Linked DNA regions of Caenorhabditis elegans. The protein of the gene in region 1 purifies or fractionates together with the protein of each later gene. This does not show direct contact. Each region holds a gene or a part of one and is shown on either strand. Other genes may lie near its edges. The genes, in order: gcy-9 and fbxb-78.

Evidence for each region.
Region 2: the proteins of gcy-9 (region 1) and fbxb-78 fractionate together in Caenorhabditis elegans (co-fractionation; one large-scale study listed by BioGRID). This does not show direct contact.

What each region holds. Positions count from the first base shown.
Region 1 is NC_003284.9:11,331,647-11,339,724, forward strand, and holds gcy-9 (Receptor-type guanylate cyclase gcy-9), read right to left. Parts: upstream 6,238-8,078; 5' UTR 6,224-6,237; coding exon 6,112-6,223; intron 6,059-6,111; coding exon 5,929-6,058; intron 5,885-5,928; coding exon 5,778-5,884; intron 5,729-5,777; coding exon 5,547-5,728; intron 4,816-5,546; coding exon 4,641-4,815; intron 4,590-4,640; coding exon 4,474-4,589; intron 4,422-4,473; coding exon 4,260-4,421; intron 4,215-4,259; coding exon 4,067-4,214; intron 4,021-4,066; coding exon 3,935-4,020; intron 3,888-3,934; coding exon 3,813-3,887; intron 3,767-3,812; coding exon 3,588-3,766; intron 3,540-3,587; coding exon 3,467-3,539; intron 3,420-3,466; coding exon 3,291-3,419; intron 3,245-3,290; coding exon 3,005-3,244; intron 2,958-3,004; coding exon 2,738-2,957; intron 2,695-2,737; coding exon 2,536-2,694; intron 2,495-2,535; coding exon 2,400-2,494; intron 2,354-2,399; coding exon 2,256-2,353; intron 2,209-2,255; coding exon 2,065-2,208; intron 1,985-2,064; and 13 more. Other genes in the region: Galanin-like G-protein coupled receptor npr-9, read left to right, coding at 1-144, 191-229.
Region 2 is NC_003282.8:4,735,465-4,739,506, reverse strand, and holds fbxb-78 (F-box associated domain-containing protein), read right to left. Parts: upstream 1,950-4,042; 5' UTR 1,944-1,949; coding exon 1,852-1,943; intron 1,683-1,851; coding exon 773-1,682; 3' UTR 645-772; downstream 1-644.

The DNA.
Region 1 (8,078 bases):
TATAACCAAACTCCAGCACATCCAGCAAACACTGTGGTTCAAGTGTCAAACGGAGAACGATCCTCGCTTCTGAAAGATAACTCGAGCTCTGCGACGTCTGTACAACCACTTCGGACGTCAATTCAAGCGAAGAAAACAAAGAATGTAGGTTATTCACGACCGCAAACAACTCTTCTACAACTAATTGCAGATAGGGAGAAGCAAATCAACCCGAAGCTATAATTTATGAACACAGGCAACTTGTTTGATTGTTTTTTTTTCACGGGAAACAGAATTACTGAGTGAGTTTGGCCGCAAGTATAGTAGTCAATTTTTAAACAATCGAGTTTTGATAACGCCAAGTTTTTTTAAATATTGCTCAAATTTTCCTCTTAAAAAATCATTTTTCAGGTCTGTGATACGATGCTCTTTGTGTGTTTCTTCTAATTTATTCGATTATTTCCTGCTTGCCGCGTTTTAACGTTGCAACTGAAAAATGTTTATTTATAGCTTTCCTTTTTGCTTTCAGAATAAATAAAATTCGGGAACATTCTGCTTTAATTTTACTGATTTCAAAAATGTGAGCTATATTTCTGAATGTTGTAAAAATGGGACGCTATATAAAATTGTTTCAAATGTACTCCGAGAATTTGCAAAATGAGATACATAATAGAGTGAACCAAATTGGAAACACATTTCATATCTAAAGTATAGCAAATTTAGAGTAATGCAAAAAATGAATCTATCAGAAAATTGACCAAGAAAATAATTTTGGGTTTGGTAAGTGTAGAATGTGAAATGGCTAGAATCTAAAGATAAATAATTAATGAATTTGATAAATGTTCTATATATTCGGTAATTCTTGAGCTCATAGAATTTGAAAAATATTGGTTTATCCGAAATGAAATCTTTGAATCCAAATCAATCTCATTGTTTGCCGGTTCTTCCTTCAAGGTAATATGTCAGACACTCTCCTTTTCCCTGTAGTTATAAATAATTGTTGCTTTTTTTTCTGATTTTTCGCTTACTTTTACTTCAATTTTTCCTCTCTCAACCATTTGGAATTGAGGAAAGAAGCAATGAAGAAGGTTGTATGCTCCCTCGGATATCTATAAATTCAACAAACATTAGTGACTAATATTAATTCCAACCTGAATTTTATTAGCCACTCCGGTGCTTTCCATTCTAGATGCAGTGTTAACAGTGTCCCCGAAAAGGCAGTAACGTGGAGCGGCAAGACCAACAACTCCAGCGGCAACTGGACCACTATGAAAGCCAATCCTCACCATCATGAGCTCTTCAGGGCGGTGAGCAAGTTTGAAGTTACAGATAAACTGAAATGTTATGGTAATCTTTGCAAGGTGGCAAATGTTTAATTTACCGCTCTCATTTTCAAAGCGACATCAGCAATATTTTGAGCGTGGCTATTTCCATTCTCTGTGGGAACTCCTGATACAATCATGTAAGCGTCACCAATTGTTTCGACTTTGTATGCATCGTGTTTTGCAATAATAGCATCGAATCCACTGAACATGTCATTTAGAAACGTTACAACCTAAAAAAAATTGTGTTAGAAAGGGATCCTGAATCCATGTAAATGTTTAAATTCTAAAATAAATCATTATAAATGTTGTCTAGGTACAAGTTAAAATTTATTGAATTTTTATGAAGAATTACTATAATCTTTTGTCTGAGCTTGCAAACCTGAAGTGGTGTAGATGTTGAAGAAATTCTGGTGAATCCACGAATATCCGAAAACAAAACAGTCGCACAACTATATAGTTGCGGAAGCACTGGCTTTCCAATTTTAAGATCTTCCGCAATTGATCTAAAAGTATGTTCCAACGTTTCAAAAGATTTTTGAAAATATATACATACAATACAGTAAGGACAGACCAAGTGCGAAAAAACTGCATGTTCGCCGCCTACAGTCGCGAAAGATTTGCACAAACACCTCGAATGGTTTGTGGAAATCTATGCTTCTGTAGGCGGCAATATGCATAGTCCGTGCTCAGCATGCGGAGTATCAGAGAATATCAGTAGTCGGTGCAATACACAAATTATGAAAAAAAAGTGGTATCATACTTTGGAAGCATACTGTTGAGAAGACGATCTGCTTGTTTTTGAGCTTCTTCCAGGAGTGCAGTACGATCTCGAACCATGTTTTCCAAATTTGCCGTATATTCTTCCATCATTTTCATCATTTGATCTACTAGAGAACCTTTTCCTCTGCAAACAAAAATCAACACTTAGATCAAAAACTTATTAAAACTTACGTTGATTTCAAGTTAGCATTGACCATCGTCCGAACTTTCTTAATCGGTGGTCTCATTTCAGGAATTTCCAGCCAACAAGCTTCAATACACGAAAGTAACTGAAATTATTTTCACGATTTAAGAAAAAGCAATTTCAATAATAACCTGCAAATTATAACCTTCACCAGTATTGGATGATGGGAAAGTTGGTCGAATCAATTGATCATCATCATTTGCCATTGCCAAAGTCTCCATCAGTTCTGAAATTGCAGTATTTCATTTGAACAATTGTTTTACTTACTATTAATGCTTTTGTTTCTTTCATGGAATGGTTCTACACGGAAAAGTATCTGATAAAGTACCATTCCGAGTGCATATATATCTGCACTTTGAGATCCTTCGGGAATAGTCTTAGTTGTCACGATTTCACGGATTATTTCTGGGGCTTGTTGAAGATATTCTGAATGTAATTTTAGATTAGTGCAAACTAAATTCTTGCAAACTTTTTCTTGCAAAATCCTTTGTAGGATCAGACACATCATCTGCTGATTCGCTATCTGTATTGATAAAAGGGCGCAGCTCATTATGATCCAGCTTTTCAAAAATAACAGCCTCAGTAGCAAAATTAGTAAGCTTCACGGTCCAATTTGAGTCAACAAGGCAGTTTTGTAAACAAAGCATGCCATGGTGCAAAAGTGGAGATGTATGCAAAAAATTGAGTCCCTGAAAGATTTCAAAAGACGTTATTTGAAAACAAAGGCAAGCAACACCTTGACAACATCCTTGGCAAACGACACTTGAAAATTCCTTCCTAGCTTCAATTCGTCGTTAAAAAGAATGTCTTCTAAACTTCCACGAGAACACAGAACCCACATGACAATAAACTCATTTTGCTGATTGAACGATATTCCATAAAACTTATTTAGATTGTCATTTTCACAAATCTTCAGTTCCTTCAACAGTCTAAGTTCTGATTTTGGGAAAGTAATATTGCGTACTTGTTGATAGCGCTGAAGTGAAAAATAATATCACTGAATGGTATATGAGAATATATACCTTAATCGCAAGTTTTACACCGTTAGACACCGCTTGTTTGGCAGCTATCAGTCCGTTTTGTTTTGAATTCATACTTCCCGAGAAAGAGCCAGAACTTTGTGATTTACTAGCCAGAGAGTGTTCGGATTTCTATAATAGAAAATTAAGGATACACTTAAAATTAAAATCAAATATACCGATTTTCCTTCTAGCATTTTAATCGACTCTCTGGGTATTCGCCATGTCATATCATACAGTAATCGTTCCTTTCTGAAGATTTGCAAATCATATTAAATTCTGATGTTAAATTTTACTTACTGTTTCAAATAAATAAAGTAAGACAGTGGTCCGACAGTTAAAATGAAGGCAAGTAAACTAGCTCCAATGAAATACGGTCTGTAATCACATTCTGCGCCCGTAAATCCACATTTCGGCACTGCCGGCGGTAGCTTTCCACTATCGGATGGCCAATAATATTGTATTGTTTCGTGTGCAACCTAAACATGATTATTTCATTTTATTTCAGTAGTCCGTATGCTTTACATGCTCGGAGCACATTTCCTCATTTTTTTCACATTGTCCACGATCATTATTTTTAGCCTCAAGTTCCACAACAATCTAAAAATGTTCAGTAATAGTTAAATATTATTGACAGAACTAAGTACTTTGAGAGTTCCATTGATAGCGTGATAAGTAGCATATGAAGGTACTCGAATTGCCTTATTGTTCATTAAAACTTGACCAGTCATACCTGTTAATACAAGCATTATAAAACCAAATGATTAAACTCGACTAACCAATAAACTGCCGATTCGTCATTCTTGACCATATTAACGATCCATTCATGTGAACATTGTAACCCCCACCATCTTCAAATGCATCTCGAAGGGCCAATCCATAAAGAAATAAAGCATCATAAAGAGACATATATGATAATGTCGCATACTGTAATTCTGATCTCTACATTAAGAAAAAAAGAAAGAAAAATACATGATTTGCAAGGACTCCTGTGACAGCACTGAATTTCATCTGGAAATCATCAAAAAACTTTTTATCGTAACCATGAGCAGTGATAATGATTGTGTTCTCAAAAGCAAGTTTCACTTCTTGTTTGTCCACGTTAGCCGCTTCCCAAGGATAATGATCGTTTTGCTGAAGGATGTCTGGTGTTGTTCCGGGTTTTGTGGTATTTTTATAAACTTACATGAGCTAACCAAGGGATTACAAACACAAACTCCTCATTTTTGATTTCAGATCTGTGTATTGCCAACATAAAGTTTGTGACTGAGTGAATATCCATTCCAAGCTCTACCACGATTACTGGAAAAAATTTTATGACGAGAACATCAACAAACGGTTAAAAAAACTTACTTCTTGCCATGCTTTTAAGTGTTGTTAGCTTTCCGGTGGAAATAATTTCTTCTGGAGAACTGAACGGCTCAATATCCAGGATGACATTAAGATTGATGTCTCTTTTTTTGATTTGATGTTGCAAAGAGTATACAGAAAGCCGCTCGTACCCGACACTTGGTCGTACAATTCCAATCTGAAAACGTTATCTGTCGTAATTCTAGAACTGCATATTGCTACATCCGGGGAATAGAAGGCGGAGGTGTCTATAAAAAAGGCGACTAATAACGGATTAGTCTATAATCCTCCAATCCATTTTGGAGTCCCCACCGATTGCTCCGGGCAGATCTGATGCGTCGTATCTGCTTATATACAAATATATATTAATATATTTTGTTGGACGGCCAATGACTACATCCGGTATTTAGTCACTTGTGGGGGGAATTTAGGCACGAAATCATGCTCCGTCAAACATAAAAATAATCGACTTAAATCTTTCGTTTTTGATCATTTAAAAAGTATTGATAAAATGACTCATGTCCAAAAGTCAAAATAAAAAACATAAAGGTCGAAAAACATATTTTAATTTGATTTTGAACGGATTCCCATCGTTTGTTTTTTATTTATAGAAACAATCACGTTTCATCCACCGCAATTTGCAATATACAATGTAAAAAACTCAGAACTGCGGACAATTAAAAGAAGACAGTGGTCAGTTAATATTTTTGAAATATTCCCCAGGAATCGTTTCACAGGAGAATATTTACTGTAATAAAATGAAATAGACAGTTTAATTATGATAAGTTTCAAAAAACTACATTATTGCTAATGAAAAACCTATTAGAATCCTGATGAGTACTTAAGTCAAGCAATGAAAATATGGAATATTGGAGCAAACAAGTAATTGTTTATTGTCAAACGTCCTACCTGGTCCCAATTGTTCAGATTTAAATATGTTACAGTCGCCTTTGCCATTTCACTTGCAGATGTCAGTGCAACTGAACCGAGTGTGGGAAATTGGACACGATCAGAAAGAGCGTCATCTCCAGACATATGAGCAATTATTGGAACGTTCCACCTAGGCGCGAGTCTTCCAATAACCAACATTTCTGAGAAAAAAGAATTACTAAATAACTTGAACATTCTCAAAAGCATTACCATTATTACAACCGGGTCCAAAATACACTGAAGCATTTTTCAAATAATGAAGGAAAGCAGCATGTTCAACTCCCGAATACTTGTTGCAACTTTCCATTGTAAAAACACTAAAATTGGAAAGACTTGTTTTTTTTAAATTCAAACTTCTTACGTTAAAGTATAATTTTGTGGAAGAATATTTCTCATTTTCAAATCGTCTGCGCACATTTTTAGAACATCTGGTTCGTGTGCTATAATAGGGTTCGTGGGGTGAAGGTGACCTATTCGAACAATCCCTTCTGCTGAAACAAAACAATAATTGTTTTATATGTATTTTATGAAAAAGATTGCTCACAACTAAGTGTAGTTTTCACATGTTGATTGATTTCGTCATGACTGATTTTACTGATAGATCTTCTTGACTCCGCAAGTAGCAAAGAAGAAATGAAAAATAAATATAAACGCATTTATCATCTCATATGAGGGGCATTTATCCCGCAAACAGTAACAATTCTTATATATTTTTTACAGGAATGTGTTGATGGAACGAATTCCAATATATGTAGAAGTAAAATGTAAAAAATTCGGAGTAGTTGGATTGATGAATCTCCGAAGGAGGTGTGAAGTCTTATGTAGCCACTCACTTCTTATCATGCCGGAAGGGCCCATCGGAAGTGGATAGATGGGGTTTAATGGAAAGAAGGCAAGTGTGTGTCACAACAAGCGTCGAATCCTACGTTTTTCTGATGTACACTGATGACTAGGTTGTTGTGAATACATTAATAGGATCTCAGCGTAGAACTATGACACTGTCTAATGCAACATCATCGAAACACACGAAAATACTTTTAAAAAAACAAGCCGAGTTTTTTTTTTGGTAGTTTTCAGAATTTTTAACAGTGTTATTCATTTACCAAGTGTACTCCCTATTAGTTATACAGTGTGTAATTTTCTTGCATTTCTAAGAGTCATCCTAATATTAGAACTTCAATCAGTATTTCAATAATTCGGGACAAGACAAGGCGTACCTTGTAGAATTTTCAGATAATTCTTCAATTCCTGAAAAAATAAACCTAGACTTGTTCAAAACGTTTACACATGTTAGCACTTGTCTTGCTTTTTACAACTTAAAAGGCTACTAGAGGTAATACGGGGAATGATTGTGAGACCAATTTTAATAAAATACGTTTCTATGAATCTCAACTTGGGATCAAATAAAAATATATATGCAAAGTCTTTCTGAATAAAACATGGTTATACAATGATACGCGGTAAACTATGAAAAACGGTAATTGTAATATTATGAACCAGCCGTGGTCCGCACCTTCGGCGCGGCCCCCGACTTCTAGGGCTGAAAATCAATTTTTATGAAACTACCGTAACCCTACAGTATTCCTACCGTACCACTATTGTACCACTACAGTACCCCGACTATATCCCTACACTAACCCCAACTCACTATCCCTCCAGAAGTCAAAACTTCACAGACTACAAAGACTACATAGACTACAAACTATGGACACACAGAATAAGCGCTTTATATTATATATAGTAAATTATCATGAAGAACAGAGACATATGAAACAAAAATATCAATCAAAAAACCAACCAGCTTGTGCTCAAACATCTTCTGTTTTTTTAACTTAGTAAATTTTAGTCACGCTAACAGAAATTCCGTACTCTATGAATTTTGTGAACTACAGATTCTAGTGATTCTAGATTCTAGTGTATTAGTTTAGTTATAGCATGGATTCGATTGCATTTTTTCAAATGTTTTTTTTTTTGAAAAATAAAACGAATTTTTGCTCTTCAGTTTCCCAAAGGAATTTCCACCTCACCATCAATCTGTGCAAAGTTCTCCCACTTGATAATCTTTTTTAAATGATCTGATATCAATGATAACAAAAGATAAAAAATATCGGACACAAATCTCTGAATTTTCTTTTTATCTCTCAATATGTCTGAGAGCGCATTGTTTCAATTCTCAAAAAAACCACACTGCAACATTGTCGTAACCTCTTGGGTCAAGTACGCAACGTGTATGCAGATCGGCCCTCTTCTTCTCTTCCCACCGCACACTATTTCACTGTGCACATTTACCTTTTTTGACTGTTTCTTGAGTTCTGAGATGGTATCGTTTTTTCTCGCCGCCTTTTTTCTCGACATTAGCCTTCTAGAAACACTGGACAACGACGCAATTTCGTCCTAGCTGATATGAAAGATGACTATCTTCGACCGACCTTGGCACACACACACACATACACAACATACACAAAACGCTCTCACATTCAATACAGCCACACACACTAAGCGCGCTCAGAC
Region 2 (4,042 bases), on another chromosome or scaffold:
AAAATTTATATGGTACTATTAAGCTTCTTTTTTTCAGAAGAACAATATGTGAAGTTACAATTACAAGTGTTCTATTGGGGACGCACAAAACTGATCTCTTTGAAATTGAGGCGCAATCGCGCTCCAAATAAAACGACTACCCCAACCGTTGGGTCTCGTTAGGTATTTAGCGGTAAAACCAAATATACAGGCGGTTTTCGACTTTTTTGAAAATTGTTTTAAATGATTATTTTGTTTAAAAAAAATGCATGTGATATTGAAAAAGGGAATTCTACTGCTTTTTAAATTTTATTATCAATTTTATGTTATCAGTTTTAACGATTGAAACCGTTCAGAAAAATGAAAGCGTTTGAATTCCTAGTTTACCCGCCAATACCTAACAAGTTGAAAGGCGGGACGTTTTCAATTGGCCGTGGATCACGGCGTTCGTGTTTAATAGGGGAATTTTTCGGCGTTTCCGTATTATGTGCGTCAAAACTTTTTTCCGCCCAAGAAGTGTAAATTTTCATAATCTTGATAAATTCAAGTGGATAGAGAATATTCCTTTGAACGTTTGTGGCGCAATAGCAGAAAAAATGAACTGATTCAAAAAGTGAACCCGGAATTTTAGTCAGACATTCTTAAAATTGAACACTTTAAAGTAGAAATTTAATATATTTATTCATTGTCAGTTTGAAAATGCATATGCATATATATTAAAGTATTAAATACAATTATTAAAATAATTAATCAAGTATACATATTTAGTATTAATTAAAAACCGAATGATAATTTAACTCCAAAATACCATATCAATCAAACTTCGCTGACTATTGACAGTAATATTTTCCTCTGTTCCATCGACTCGTCTAACATCATAACCACCTTTGACACATATCTGCTGGGATCCGGTAGGATGAATTGTCAATTCTCTTTCCGCTGGTGCAACTTGATAATCCACATTTTTGAAGAGTATTTCAACAACTGCTTCATTTTTCAATTGGAGTTCTTTGTAGCCAAAGCAAGCTAGTTCTAACTTTCTGTCGAGTCCGTGAATCCAGTGTTTTAAGAACATATTAACATCTTCAATTTTCATGTCAACCATGAGTGAATAAGTATTAGTAACGAATAAATCGTTCAGATCATATTTGATAGGGTGATATAGAACAATATGGTCCATGTTACGTGTTAAAACCACTTGCAATTGTTTAGATGTTTCTGCTGTGAATGGGTTGCGACTCATTAAAATTGATAACTGATTAGCTTTACGAGAAAACTTTTTCAATGCATACTGAAGTGACAATCTATTCAGATCGATATGATACATGGAGAAAGATTCTATTTCCAGTTTATCAAAACTATCATAGATTGTAGTTTCAAAATGATCGGTTGTAATCTCTAGTTCACTAATGTTTGTTACATGAAATATATCAAGAACGTGATCCAAAAACTGTCTCACTCGAAATATAGGTGTCTTCCATTCACCCAATCGAGTACAGAGATACATATTAATGCACTCTTCTTCAAGACGATGCTCTGAGGTTCGGTATTCGTTAGTGTAGAATTTAAAATACGTGAAAGTATGTTGAAGGGAAATATGAATTATTATGCCAGAACGTATTTCAAGATGGACATCCTCGGCTTTCAGACCTAGGCGTTTTGTTTGTAGCTTTGCATTTTTAGATGTGAGTGAGAATCCTATTCTGTAAAAAAACATTGTTCAGGTTGAGTGATAGGAAATCAATAATTATCTAATAAAATTCCACTAGTGGTATTTTTTGTGATATTTTGTGTGATTGATTGAGATGTGATTGAGTGATATTTGATCAAAAATAATTTGAGTTAACATTGGAAAAAATATGTTTTACTTACAAATCTGCTACAAGCATTCTGTGAAACACGTAGTTACTCGATTTTTGAGGTAATTTGAGCAGTTGGAAAGGAACAGATACGTCGTCGACCATGGCCACAAATGAAGAATGAGCAGATGGAGAGATTGGGTGGTCCTGTCCAGTTGACCCCCCTTCCCCAATTCTCTAATTCTCATCTTAGAGATATTATACATATTTTTCTTTGTCTAAAGCGTGCAGAGACACGCACATGTTAGAACAGTTTAACAGTCTTTCTCCATGTATGCACTAGATCTGATTAGATTCCTACTTCAGAATGCATTAAAAAAGTTTTCTCGTACAACTCAGTTATCAATAATTATGAGTAGCAACTCATTCTCAAGAGAATTATCAAAACAAATGCAAGTGATTGAATCATGTAAAATGCCGAAAAAACTTAATTAAACTTCTCTAAAAATTCAACAATTATTACGTCTGTTCAAAGTTTTGAGAAATATTTTGAAAAATTTCGAACTTTTGTTTCATGGAACATATCAAAAACTGTTAGTAGTTGAAGTTCAATTTCGACAACTTTTCTATTAGGTACAATTTGATCGTTAGTCTGACAATATTGATTTAGTTATGAAAAATTGTCTGAAAATTCATACAAATATTTTATCAACGTCAAAACACAATTTTTAATGTTTTAAATGATTTTTTGTTGAAATTTCAATTGAAAATATGCATGTATAATTGAAAAAGGGATATCTGCTGCTATTCAAATGAGGACTAGTCAATATTAGCCCAACATTTTCTTGTCTCTAGGTCTCATGGCTCATAATCCTCTCTATTAGCTAACACATCTGTCATGTTTTGTATGCTGGAATCCCTCAAAAAACCAATTACCCCATACCATGTAATCAATTGATGTCAATAAAAATACAACAACATACTGCTTGAGAATCTTGAGAATACTTGAGAATCGATTTTCTGAGAAAGGAAAATACCAAAGTCACTGTGATGGTTTCAATCGGGGTTGGGAGGGAAACTGTTTGATATAAAAAACTACAGAGTCTCTAATTTTTTTTACAAAAATTCAGGGAACACCCGCTTCCAAATGTTGTACACATCTTAGAAAATATTTGTACCGACTCGAAACTCTATAGCAGATTGAAATATTGGTGTTCTCCTTCTCAATGCTATCACAGAAATGTATTGATTAAAATCGAGAAAAGGGGTCGAACTAAAATTGTATTTAACCATGTTCCTCTGGGACACATTTTATTCACTTTTCAAAACACAGAAATGATTATCAAGTAATATACGCGTATTTGTACAATAAGTGTTTCGGAATATAAAGCCTCGACCGAAAGAAATGAATTATTTGTTATCACAACGCTGCAAGAACGACGCCTGAACACCGATAAAAAAATTATTTTGAAAATGTTAAACGGTAAAATATATCTGAAAGTACCTGTATTTTTTACATTCTCGGACAACACTAGAACGCATTATAAAAATAAGTTCTCTTGGAGCAGATGTAAATCTAAAATTAGGAAACGTTAAGTCAACCATCATTCAAAAAAATTTGTATCCAAATTAAACAAGGATAACTATGCTAGGAAATGAGCGACATCTACTCTTGATCATTAAAATTCAATCCCTACGATCTATTATTTATCCTGTTCTTTGATCCAATTCTTTCTTATGCTCTCTGACTATGCCCACAATCTCCCAGTCTACCCTCTGACCACGAAACTTTGTATGTATGTATCAACTTTCTTTTCTTTTCACGCTTCTTCAAGAACATAATAAATTATGATTATTGTTATTATATATTCTTTATTTACTAAAGTACTCCAAATTTAACAAATACAAGCAAAATTATACAAATAACAAGTTAACCGCGCACAAACATTTTCAACAGTGATTGAATGTGATCTACAATAATAGTTGCTACTGTTCCATCCATTCGTCTCACATCATATCCTCCTTTGACAATTTGTTCCTTTTCTCCAGGTGGTTGAACCAATAATTCTCTTTCCACAGGTGCAATACAGTAATCCAGGTTCTTGAAGAGAACTTTGAGAACATCATCATTAAACCTAACAACTCGGAAACACACATCAAAATATTCCATTCTCTTGTTGGATCCGTGAATCCAATGTTTCAAAAATAGGTTGACCTTCTTTGAATTCATGTCTTCGCTTATCGACAGATAACGAGAATTGGAT